3 linked regions of the Drosophila melanogaster genome follow. The protein of the gene in region 2 interacts with the protein of the main gene of each other region in a pairwise test. Each region holds a gene or a part of one and is shown on either strand. Other genes may lie near its edges. The genes, in order: Cda5, CG9624 and CG12896.

What was found.
Region 1: the proteins of CG9624 (region 2) and Cda5 interact in a two-hybrid assay, tested with the Drosophila melanogaster proteins (one large-scale study listed by BioGRID).
Region 3: the proteins of CG9624 (region 2) and CG12896 interact in a two-hybrid assay, tested with the Drosophila melanogaster proteins (one large-scale study listed by BioGRID).

The regions. Positions count from the first base shown.
Region 1 is NT_033779.5:56,206-61,144, reverse strand, and holds the start of Cda5 (chitin deacetylase-like 5), read left to right. Parts: upstream 1-1,876; 5' UTR 1,877-1,955; exon of another isoform or gene 1,956-2,186; intron 2,187-2,413; exon of another isoform or gene 2,414-2,896; intron 2,897-2,951; exon of another isoform or gene 2,952-2,962; 5' UTR 2,963-2,994; coding exon 2,995-3,064; intron 3,065-4,939.
Region 2 is NT_033777.3:14,227,397-14,230,740, reverse strand, and holds CG9624 (uncharacterized protein), read left to right. Parts: upstream 1-1,595; 5' UTR 1,596-1,671; coding exon 1,672-2,541; 3' UTR 2,542-2,723; downstream 2,724-3,344.
Region 3 is NT_033778.4:10,426,239-10,429,668, reverse strand, and holds CG12896 (uncharacterized protein), read left to right. Parts: upstream 1-1,753; 5' UTR 1,754-1,849; coding exon 1,850-1,932; intron 1,933-1,994; coding exon 1,995-2,369; intron 2,370-2,432; coding exon 2,433-2,508; intron 2,509-2,571; coding exon 2,572-2,700; 3' UTR 2,701-2,789; downstream 2,790-3,430.

The sequences.
Region 1 (4,939 bases), on a different chromosome or scaffold from region 2:
TTGTATTTTTGTCTTCCATTTATTATTCAAGAGTTAAGCACAATGCTCCAATATTTCAAGTATACCATAAACTGAAGGCTCTGACCGATTCGAATTGCATGTGTAAGCAAAGTGCGGGTTTACTTGTCGGGTAACCACTTTATCGAAAACATTATAGGCGAGTTTTGAGGGCCAACAATTTGACAATCATTTTCCGTTGAGCTTTTTCTGTCTGAATCAACTTGCGATATCTTAATGCGTGCTAACTATTGACCATATTTTGACAGGTTTCATATACATAACAGAAGAAATATTTGTTTCAGGAAACGGAGTTATTACGGTTCATTAATGAGTTTGCCAAATCGCCTGTTTTACCAAACGTGGCCAAAGTGTTCTTGGTATACCGATAGAAATTTACAAGGGTTATAATAAAATAAAAAAAAATCTCAAAAACTTTTTAAAAGTGTGCGCGTGGCAGCTTTTGGGGGTTTGTGGGCATTAGAAGGAACGCCGCCAAAGTGTTCTTAGTATAACGATAGCTATGGGCGGTCTGTGGGCGTAAGAGTGGGCGTGGAAAAAATGGATTTGGCAAATGAATATAAATTTACAAGACTGATGAAAATATACAAAAAAATATGCAACAATTTTTCAAAAATGTGGGCGTAGCAGTTTCGGGTTGCTTGAGGTCGTTACAGTGGGTGTGGCAACATGGGACAACAAACTTGCGCTGCGTCCATGTCACTAGAATATGTATGCTGAATCTCAACCTTCTAGCTTTAATAGTTCCTGAGAACTCGACGTTAATACGGACGGACAAGCCTGATCGACTCTGCCAATGGTCTTGATAAAGTATTTGTATATTTTATATGGTCCGAAACGTTTAGTTCAAGATACACTTCGTTACACACTTTTTAATATAGTAACGGAAATAATTAAATAATTTCCTAAACAAAGTCAAAAATATTCAATGCAACAAAACACCTCGCCCTCCATTCACAGAAAAAATCGTGTGAAACACAATCCAGCAAAAATAAATTAATAAATAAAGAATTAGATTAATTCGCATGCCTTGCTCAAACCATCAGCCATCGCCGTTCACCAGAACCCCTTTACTTCAGCTGTTGTTTTACAGCTTTTGCTTGGCTTTGGTTGGCTGCTTTGGCCTAGTTCTTGGTCGTTGCCATGTTTTCAACTCGGTTTTACTTTCAATTCTATGGTTCGAAATTGGCCACTTTACTTTAGACTTTAGAGTAAAGCTATATGTTGGGCATATAAATCGAATTTATCAAGGGCAATTCAGCTGGGTGGTATTAATTCTAAAAGTGATTGAGTGGTCTTCCTTCGATCCCATGCTTGACATGGATTCAAGTCCAAGCCCATGTTGAAGTAGTAAGCATTCTTTAATTTAAGCACCGTAATCCACTATCGAGCGATCCAGAAACCTGCTGCTAAACGAAAATGTAACGAAAAAGGTAACAACATTTCACAATCGCCTTGGTAAATAGTTTCCCAGCCTTCGTTGGCTAGAGGGTGGATATTGTTGTAGTTTCAGAAAACAATAAACAAAGCCCGCTCCCCGCTTGTAGATAGCTTGAAACTGATGGGGAGCTTTGGATGAAATTCTCAGTAAAATGTTGAAATTCACTAAGAATATGGGTCTGGACTACATTTTTCTGATAACTTGTATAACTTGTAAAACGTAGCAAAGCTGCAATGGCGCAAGCGTTAACTTTACTCTTACTTTCAAAAGCTTAAGAGATACAAACGACTCCGCGCGGGTGCAGCAACAACTTGAACAGTCTGTTAATGTAAAGTAACAGTCGGGGCCAAGCGTGGCGCAGACCAAGCTTGGCCCAAAAGCCAGACTTCGAAACTTGGTTGGCTGGCTGCGCTTGCCCAGAGTCTCAAGACACTCGTCCGCACAGTCGCGCTGTATAGTTGTTTCGATTAGGACGTGTGGTTCGCTTAAGCGCACGGTAAGCAGAGACGCTCGAGGGTCACCCGAACTTGTCAGGCGGTCTAAACTGTTTGCAATAAGCCACAATCAATTTTTGGGCTTTCGATTGCTAATTTATTTCGTAAACGCGTCGAAATAAAGTCCACCTCTGACTGGACATTGCAACCAGCCAAAAATTTAACATTTTGTAGAAAGCAGTTTTAACTGCATTTTGCAGTTTAGTCGAAGAGCTCAAGCGTGTGTGTCGGTGGTAAGCTAACTTTGCGTTAAAAAGAAAGTTTACGCTAAATATATATACAAGCTTCGACAAACAAAATAAAAACGTGCAGGTTTTGTTTTATTTTGTTTCGCATTTTCCTCTACGCGCTACAGACTAGTTCATACAGAGTTTTCCAATATGGAGGTGCCCGCGATACCGTACGGGAAATCTAAATCAAACACCGATCTTCGATTTGATCTCTTTGCATTTTTGTCTAGCAATCTTTTCCATGGTAACTACAAAACGAACAGCGGTCATTGCAGTCTCACGTGAAAGAAACTAAAAAACCTAACTAAAAATCGCTTGCCAAAAGCAATGGAGGAAAACTAAGTGTTGTAATCTGTAAACGTGTGTGTTAGCTATGCATCGTCGCGTTGGTTAAAGCCAAACGAAAGCTCGAATAATAGGGGCAGAAACTAAATCTGCTTACAACAATACAAACATGTCCTAACCAAGTGAAGGCACAGCCACAAAGCCGCAGTCGCGGCATAAGCCAGACACACCATTAAGAAAACTGTAACACAAGGCTCAAAAAATCTAAATTGAAAAATTGCGACACTGCCTTCTTAGTTATTTAGCAATTGTTTTCAACAAAACAGAGGTTTTCTCAACGGTAACTGCCTCCGTCATCGGTACGGTGGCTGCTGCTGCTCCCCACTTCCCGCGCTTCCAACCACTATTTTTATCCGAGCTTGCCTATGGTATTTTAAATTCTGTGAACTAACCCCAAAACGAAACTGAACCAACCACATCAAGAAAATTTACAGTTACAGTTACGACGACACGCCATACCTGCAATATGAAGTATTCAACAAGTCGAATAAACATTCTGTGCCTGCTGGGATTGTGCCTACTGCTTTTTAAAACAGGTGAGTAATGCCCACTTCAGTGAAGAACACTCTGCTAGAAATACAAATGGAGGCAAAAACTTAAAAGAGCAAAGGGCTTACACACTTTACCCACTAGTCCTAGAAGAGTTAGCACTTAACCAGATTTTAAGACAACCATGGATAAGTATTCAGTTCATGTATGAACTGAAATCTTTTTTTAAACGTAGATCCGAAAAAGTTTTATTTTTAAGTGAATTGTTTTTACAGTACTATGGATTCTTCTTTTCCTCAATCATATTCGAAACTTCGTGATAGAAATATTATGTTCCGCAAATAAAGCCAAACTTGTTTTGAACACTGTTCCGGCTGCCATGTACGAGCTCGCAATAGTCTAATGTCAAATTCAATCACCGTAGAAGAAGTCAAACCACCAGCTGTTAACCACTTGTGTTGAGCTCTATTGTGGATACTCCGGCTCCGGCTAAACGAGTTTCTTAATATGTCCAAAAATGTATATTTATTTTAATATATATATATATATATATATATTAAGACATTTTACTGCGAAATGTGTTAGGATATATAAAAAGTAAGAGTATTTACATTAGGGTATGTATGGAGGTAAATACATGGTCTGATCAACTGCTCTATTTACCAGCGAACAATAACATAATCAAGCATTTCGACCATAACAAGCCTTACCGTGTCCAACTATTGGTCACTTGGGCTGTCTACTCACCATACTGCTGGGTAATGGTAATGGAATTATGTAAGTTATCAGCCAGCAGCCAACCAAGCAGCTTATGACACAGATATTAATTGCATACAGCTCGCTGACTCGATTGAATAGGTTCACTAAGTGAGTGAGTGTATCGGTGTAACCGAGCAAATTGTGGCTATAATAACTGTTGATAATTTTTAAAACAGTTTGCTTAATTGTTCAGACATTTTTTATGAATGATATATATGCAAAATTTGAGAAAACAAATTGGGAACTACGAAAATTGCTTAGATAACGTGGTAAGGATTAACACTATTAAAATTATAATAACAGCATTAGACGGCTAAATTGTTTTGAGATAGATTTTTTGTATTACCTTTGTGGCCTTATAAAGTGCATATATGTATCTTATTCATAACATATTAGTAAAAACAGCGAACTTGAAATAGCCAAGCCCGGCTGTCCGATCGTCCTCTTTTAAACAATTTATAATCTATCTGCTATACCGATTCGGTCGTTGATACTTAGCAAGAAATATATATACCATATATGGGCACAATTGTGTCCTTCACAGCTTTGAAATTTCTGACTTAAGTGAATGTACCCTCCGCAAGGGTATGAAGACTTGCATGACTTGGTTTAGGCATAGTGGCAACACTTTCCATTTTGATGAACTTTCTCAGTGTTTTGAGTGGTGTTTTTTTAAGCCACAGAAATATATATTTGGGTAAAACCTTAGATATGCCGCCATGGAAATATTTTCATGCGTAATTGCTAGGAAATTTGTGTTAAAACATTTGATGTACTACTGGTTTAATGCGAATGTCGATGGCTGAAAGAAAAAGGTTTGAGGCGGACGAGGCCAATGGCGAAAGTTGAACATTTGCAAGAACATTTGTTTAAGCGCGTGTTTAATGAATAGTATAACAAAGGGGTTTTAATCATAATTCAGTTTCAATGCCAGTTAAACCATTAGTATGGTGGTCACGCCTCGACCTAATCATTTCGTCTCTTTTTTACCGCAGGCAGTGTCAATGCTTACCGTGCGAAAGTTTTGGCGCACGCGGAAGATCGTCATTAAATTACTTCGCTAGGTCTTTGACTGTAACCTGAACACTTTATACGAGCATGTACGACCATTGGCATGGCGCAACTTTGTTTTGCATGCACACAGTGCACTTTCGCTTTCAAGC
Region 2 (3,344 bases):
GTGCATCTACTGGAAGTTCCTGTGGCCTTTTCTCTGCGGTGTGCCAACTCAAATGCATAGCCAAAAAAAAAAAAATAATAAAAAAAATGACTCCAGTTTTACGCTCGAGTTTTGTGTATATTTTCCGTTTGATGTTGGGGCTGCTTTTCCATTTGTCGAATGCTTAAAGCCATTTGAAAATGATTGGCTTTTATGTCAATAAGCGTCTCAGTTGTCCTTACTTGTTTCAGTTTTTCTTTTGCATGGCTTTTTCCTTGACTTTTTTTAATACAGCTGACTTCGCTTTTTCTTTCGGTTTTTGCTCTCGCGGTTTTCTCTTACAGTCTGACGCTTAAGTGCCCCAATAAAACACAATAAATATACACATAAATTTTTATACACATCCCGCATATAGAGGACAACTTTTTTTTGTGGCCAGAGAGCTGGAAAAAGTCGTCGCGTTTTGATAGATGAAACGAAATAAAAAGTAAAACAAATACGGTGTTTTTAGCTCCCGGTCACTTATGGCTTTAAATTTTCCAGCGAAAGCAAAATTAAATTTTGAAAATTAGAAGGCAACTAAGGCTAACCGGATGCGATAAATCATCGTGGTAAAATTAAAATCGTGGGTTCGAATCAAAATTTCGCACTGGCGCTGAATATTAAAACAATAAGTGTTTGAACATCGAGGCGTAAAATAGGCATTCGTCACTCGGTTTTCGGTGCACCGACATAAATCTAAATTCAAACCTTTTGTGGATTGGATTTTTGCTAGGTGCCTTCGATTTGTAAGCCCACTGATTGTGTTCAACGTGGCACGAACAATTGATTTATGAAAATTTATTGCTCACATGCGGAGGACCAAAAACCAGGCGCCCGAGCGCCCTGCGATAGGCAACACTTTGTGTTTGAAATTAAAGCTGCCACGCCGCGAGCAATAAAAGCAAAGCCATAAAAGCTAATGAGCCCGAAAACTCGTCACCGTTGTCACAGCCATTTCCCCTTCGGATCTGCCACGCCCTCCTTAAACTAATATATATGTATGTATGTTCGAACTGGGGCATAATGAAAATCGCGGCCATCTTGTTGCGCCTGCATTCCGTCATAAAATCCTGTTTCACCTCACTGTTTCAGCTCATAAAATAATGGCGATCGTCGGCTACCGTGAATATACGGCATGGAATGTCGTAAAATTTACGCAAATTGTTGTTGCCGATTCCCGATGAGAATACTTACTTACCGTTATTGCCTGTGAGTGCGCATAAATTTGGCAACAAATGCAAACAAACAAGTTTAGCTATAGAAAAATGTGGGAGGGCTTTGTTATTAGGGGGCGTGCCAGTAGCTGATTTATTTCGCTGATAGGAAGGGATGTGCTTTCACTGCTGCGAATTTTTTGAAAAAAGATAATAAGCATATATACATTTTATAAATTTTAATTCTTATTTTAAGCTACGAAACTAAAGACTCTGTAAACATGTTAATATACGTAAAAATCTGTTGAAATAATGTATATTAAGTTTTGGGCTGAAATTAAGAAATCCAAATATTTCTAGGTGTATTTTAATGTAGATGCCAGCAGATTTGTGTCACCCTATTAAGCATTTGATAGCGAGGCAACGGAAATTCTGCCATAGACACACATTTGCTAGCCAGGCCAAATTACATGAATAGAAATTCCAAGTACCCAAAATGAATACCTCCGAAGTCAAACGAACGCTGGGTAGCCCCTTCTTCGACGTGCTATGGCCATTGATCCTGGACGAGAATGTCTGTCGCATCGAGACCAAGCCGGACGAATTCTTTGTGCCCCGGCAGCCCTTCAATCGACTGGATTGGCATATCTATCTGTCCCAGGTGGGCTTTCCTTTCTACATGCCGCCACATGAGCTGCGCTGCTGCAAAGGAGCCCAAAGGGAGGAGATCGAGAACGAGGATGCTGAGAATGCCTTAAACCAGGAGGTGGAGGAGCGAACGGCGTCGAATCAGGTGGACTTTCTGCGCCATGGATCCCGGGACATTAGACCCATAGATGAGGTGGTAAACAAACTGAGGATGGAGCAGGAGCGTCGCCAGAAGTTGGCGTACGACTTTGCCAATCGGCGCTATCCTTGGACCATGCAAACTCCCAGTCACGAACTGGGCTTCACCATCACTGAGGAGCTGCAGAAGTGCTTCAAGGGACCCATGGAGCTGGACATCTTGAGGGCCATTCATGATCACGACTGCAAGCTAATGATTATCGATCTGGGCACTGATGTGGACATTAAGGACTGCCAGCGCTGGATAAAGTTTCGTCCATATATTCAGTTACTGGCATTGCCTCGAACACCTCGCATGGAACGATCGCTTCAGGTGCTCAATGTCTTCCACACGTATTTGGTGGAAGAATCGGCTGATAACTCATGGCACGATGAGGTGCAATACTCCCTTCGCACAGCTTTTGTGCACGCACAGAAAAATCAGCTCCTTAAGTCCTGCGGAGAGCCATTTGTCTTCGTATTTAGTCGTTTTCGTGGCATCTGCACCTGCGATACCTATAAGATAATCCGACGGGCATAGAACAAATTCTTTCAATTAATTTCCATCAGCAGTTATTAGCAAATGCCAACTGAAGTTGCTATAGACAAGTAATTATTTATTGCTTTTAAAAAAATTTCAAAATGTAAAAAAAATCTCAAGTTTACACAAGATTATATATATTACATGCAATAAATCGAATTTAAACATCATAACATCTGTTTTAGCCCAGTTTAATACTTATTCACGTCGCCTAATTTGATACGACTTGATTTGCTCCGCCCGGCCGTTCAAGCCATCATGTTGAAGTGGCGCCCGAACAGGAACCGCTTCAATTAGGCCGCCCAATTGGAGCTGCCTTCAAGTGCAGTCAGACGCACGCTACCTGCCACTTGCCACCCGATTATTGACGCAGGCGGAAGCCTGCACCACCATTTTCCGATGTGTTGTCAAAGTGCCTCCGCTAAGTTGGCAGACTTGAGCCCACGGCACAATTCACAACAAGTTTGTTTGCGAAAAAGAAACGAAATCGAAAAATTTCGCACCAAATCTCAACAAATTATTACAAAGCTTAACAAACTTGAAACTGATTATAAAAGTTGCCGGCAGGCAGTTGGGGCAAATTGGGGGACCGGCGGCCACAATGCAGCAAAATTGAGTTGCGGGTATCGTGAAGTTAGGAGCACTTCCCCTCATTCTCTACGGGCTTCCTTTTTGTTTTGTTGGAAAAAGTTTTTTTTGGCCAAATGCGTTGTCGCTATAAACGTCGACCCACAAACATAATTTTCAATAGAAATTCACATAAGCCACCTTGCCACGCCTGATAATAGCTTTGAGCAAAACTT
Region 3 (3,430 bases), on a different chromosome or scaffold from region 2:
ACATCAGAGTGCGCTCGGCAGCTATCGATTATTCTTATCGAATAAATCTCTTTAGGCGCCTAAATTCAAAATTTGATAAGCAGTAACACACTTCCCAAAGTGCCATTAAAATCTTAAAATGTTTTTAGGTAAAACCCTTGACAATACTTTTGGAGGGTATTATTGCACTATTGCTAGCAATCTTATTTTTTGGGTAAAATTAAACCTTACGTAATTCGTTATGTTTTTTAATGCTAATTTAATCTTTTAAATATTGGTTTAAATTATAAAAAAAGATCATATTATCTATTTTTAGCGCATACTTTACGCCATACCGATAAGAATATTAAGGGCAATTATTACTTAGAAACTTCTGCCTATGGTATAAAAGTATGACGAATGTCAAACATACGCGTTTTACATTGAAACCAGATTTAAAAATGCATCAGCGCAAAAAACTTTAGTGATTTCTAGTACTCTGCCCAGAATGTAATTAAGAGATCGCTGCACTGGTAAAAAAAACCGCCATAAATTCAAAAGATTCGATTCGATTGACAGACTATCGATGCTGCAGAATTTACCGGTTCGCTCTACGGCTTCTCTCAAATGCTTTGACACTTTCTATCTCACTCTTCTAATCGTTCTTGTTCGTTTCGCCTCAACCTTCACTCTGTATTTTAGTTACTTCCTTTCCGAATAGAAATCCTATCACGTAACTGATAATAAACAGTGGAAAATTACCACACGTCTGGTGTAGAGACGAATGTTGCTGGATTCTTGATTAGACTTTATACACTAGCACAAAAACTGTACTTGTAACTTATGAAACACGATCGAGCTACTGGGAGGGAACTCTTCTAATTAAACTTATCAATTGTTGCATTTTTGGTATCCATTATGACTAGATATTGAATTTTAACCATATGATTCCTATTTGGGCTGCTTTCATGCGTACTGTCTTTTGCCTTCTGAATGAGCGATCTGCCCATCCGACTTCCCAAATCCATTCCATCTTTATGTGTGACTTACTGAGAGAAAACCTATGCTGGTGTGCTAATTTTCGATAGACCCACGCACACAGTCTCACGATTTCACTCGCTCTTCACTTTCAATTAGAGGCTCGTTTTCTGTACGTGAACGGGAGAGCCGTGCGATCTATGGAAGTGTGCGATTTTTGCAGGCACTCACAAATACCATCACGTTGCTCGCCGCTCTCTCGCTCTCAATATCCGCCTATCGGCGTGGCTGTATGTTTGCAGGTGTTGGTGCTTCGCCTCTGTTTACCAACACCATTTAACATTTAAATGCGCTCTCGCTCTCTGTTTATGTTTGGAGCCGGCAAAACCGTCAACTGCATCAAATCAGCTGTTTTGATACTAGATCCTGAAGGAATTGGTTCTGGACTGATTGATTTATTCGAACAAGTTTAAATTAAAAGAAATATGCGAAACTGTACTTCATTTTGCGTTACATCTAAAATGTGTTCGTCACAGAGTCCATTTTTGTGTGACGCCCCAAACAGGTTTTTTTAAGGCCCCTCTTGAGGTTCACACAAATATGGAGACCCCGTACGAGGCCTCATCTTTCCCCTCACAATGTCCCCAATTATCACTGAGTTGTTTGTTAGTCTACCCGCAGCACCACGTACTATACATACAAACATACATATGTACATATATGATACGATAAGCCAGCTCCCGTTCTCTGTCTCTATCGGTCCCCTTTCATCAAATTGATCCAGTCGGGTATAAAAGACAGCGAGCTCTCCCAGTCAGTATTCAGTAAGCAACAAGTGTGCGAGCTAATAACAGCTACCAGCTGAGCAACTAACAAGTTTTTTTCCAAGTGAAACTAAAAATCAAACAGCAAGATGCGTTTGGGACAGACCGTACCTAACTTCGAGGCCGACACAACCAAGGGGCCCATTAAATTCCACGAGTGGCAGGGCAACTCGTAAGTGCCATCAAACCCTTTTTCTCTGATCGAATCTTACCAATTCTCCTTCGGATCGCCAGCTGGGTGGTGCTCTTCTCTCACCCCGCCGACTTCACTCCCGTCTGCACCACTGAGCTGGGCAGGATTGCGGTGCACCAGCCGGAGTTTGCCAAGCGGAACACCAAGTGCCTGGCGCATTCCGTTGACGCATTGAACTCGCACGTGGACTGGGTGAACGACATCAAGAGCTATTGCCTGGACATTCCCGGGGACTTCCCCTACCCGATCATCGCCGACCCTACTCGCGACCTGGCCGTCACCCTGGGCATGCTCGACGAGGAGCAGAAGAAGGATCCCGAGGTGGGTAAGACCATCCGCGCCCTGTTCATCATCAGTCCGGACCATAAGGTGCGCCTCTCCATGTTTTACCCCATGTCCACTGGTCGCAACGTTGAGTAAGTACCTCTTTCTGGCTACAACTATTGTTAATCTCAACTGACGATCCTGTAATCTTACAGCGAGATTCTGAGGACCATTGACTCCCTGCAGCTGACTGATCGCCTCAAGGTGGTGGCCACTCCCGCCAACTGGACCGTAAGTTTTTCTACCCACTTAATGCGAACTGTTCCGAACTAATTAATTCTGTTTCATAAACAGCCTGGCACTAAGGTCATGATCCTGCCCAGTGTCACCGATGACGAGGCTCATAAACTCTTCCCCAAGGGATTTGATAAAGTATCCATGCCATCTGGAGTAAACTACGTTCGCACCACTGAGAACTATTAAAGACCTACATACCTGCATGTATTTTTCTTCCTGTTGTGCCATAAAAAGTTAATTACTGCAAAATAAAAATTTTATATTCTGAAACTATTAATTAAAAACTTTCTTATTTTAATAAAAATTATTTTGTCAGCTTCGCTTTCACAAAATATTACAAAACTGCGAATGAATATTTTTACAAAATATAATAAAATGAAAAAATTGTCTCGCAATATCGAAAGAAAGTCGCATAGCAGCGTTCATTCGCACAGACATAAACCGCCAAATCGACTCGTCTAGCAATCGTGATCGAGAATATATATACTATATAGGGTAGAAAACGCTTCCTTCTTTCTACTTGTTACATATGTAAATTGCTCTACTGGTAATATAATGCAATGCATTTTTAGTCTTGAAATAATGCTATAGTCGAACACCCCGACTATCAGATACCGAACGCGAAATTTCATCATTTTTCTGAGATATCGATATTGGGGCATAACATGAGAATAAATTTTAAAATTGTTTAATAGTGTGGGTGTGACCGGTTTGGTGGCTTTAGGGCGTTAGAGTGGGCTGGGCAATTAGTTTTTTGCAAATCGACAGAAACTTACAAGACTAATATAAATATATACTAAATTTCAACACATTTTTCAAAAGTATATAAGTGTGGGCGTGGCAGGTTTGTGCAAGCCACTGGCACTCTAAGTGCACCCGCTAAAATATGGATGTCTAGGCACCAGGGTGTTTTTTA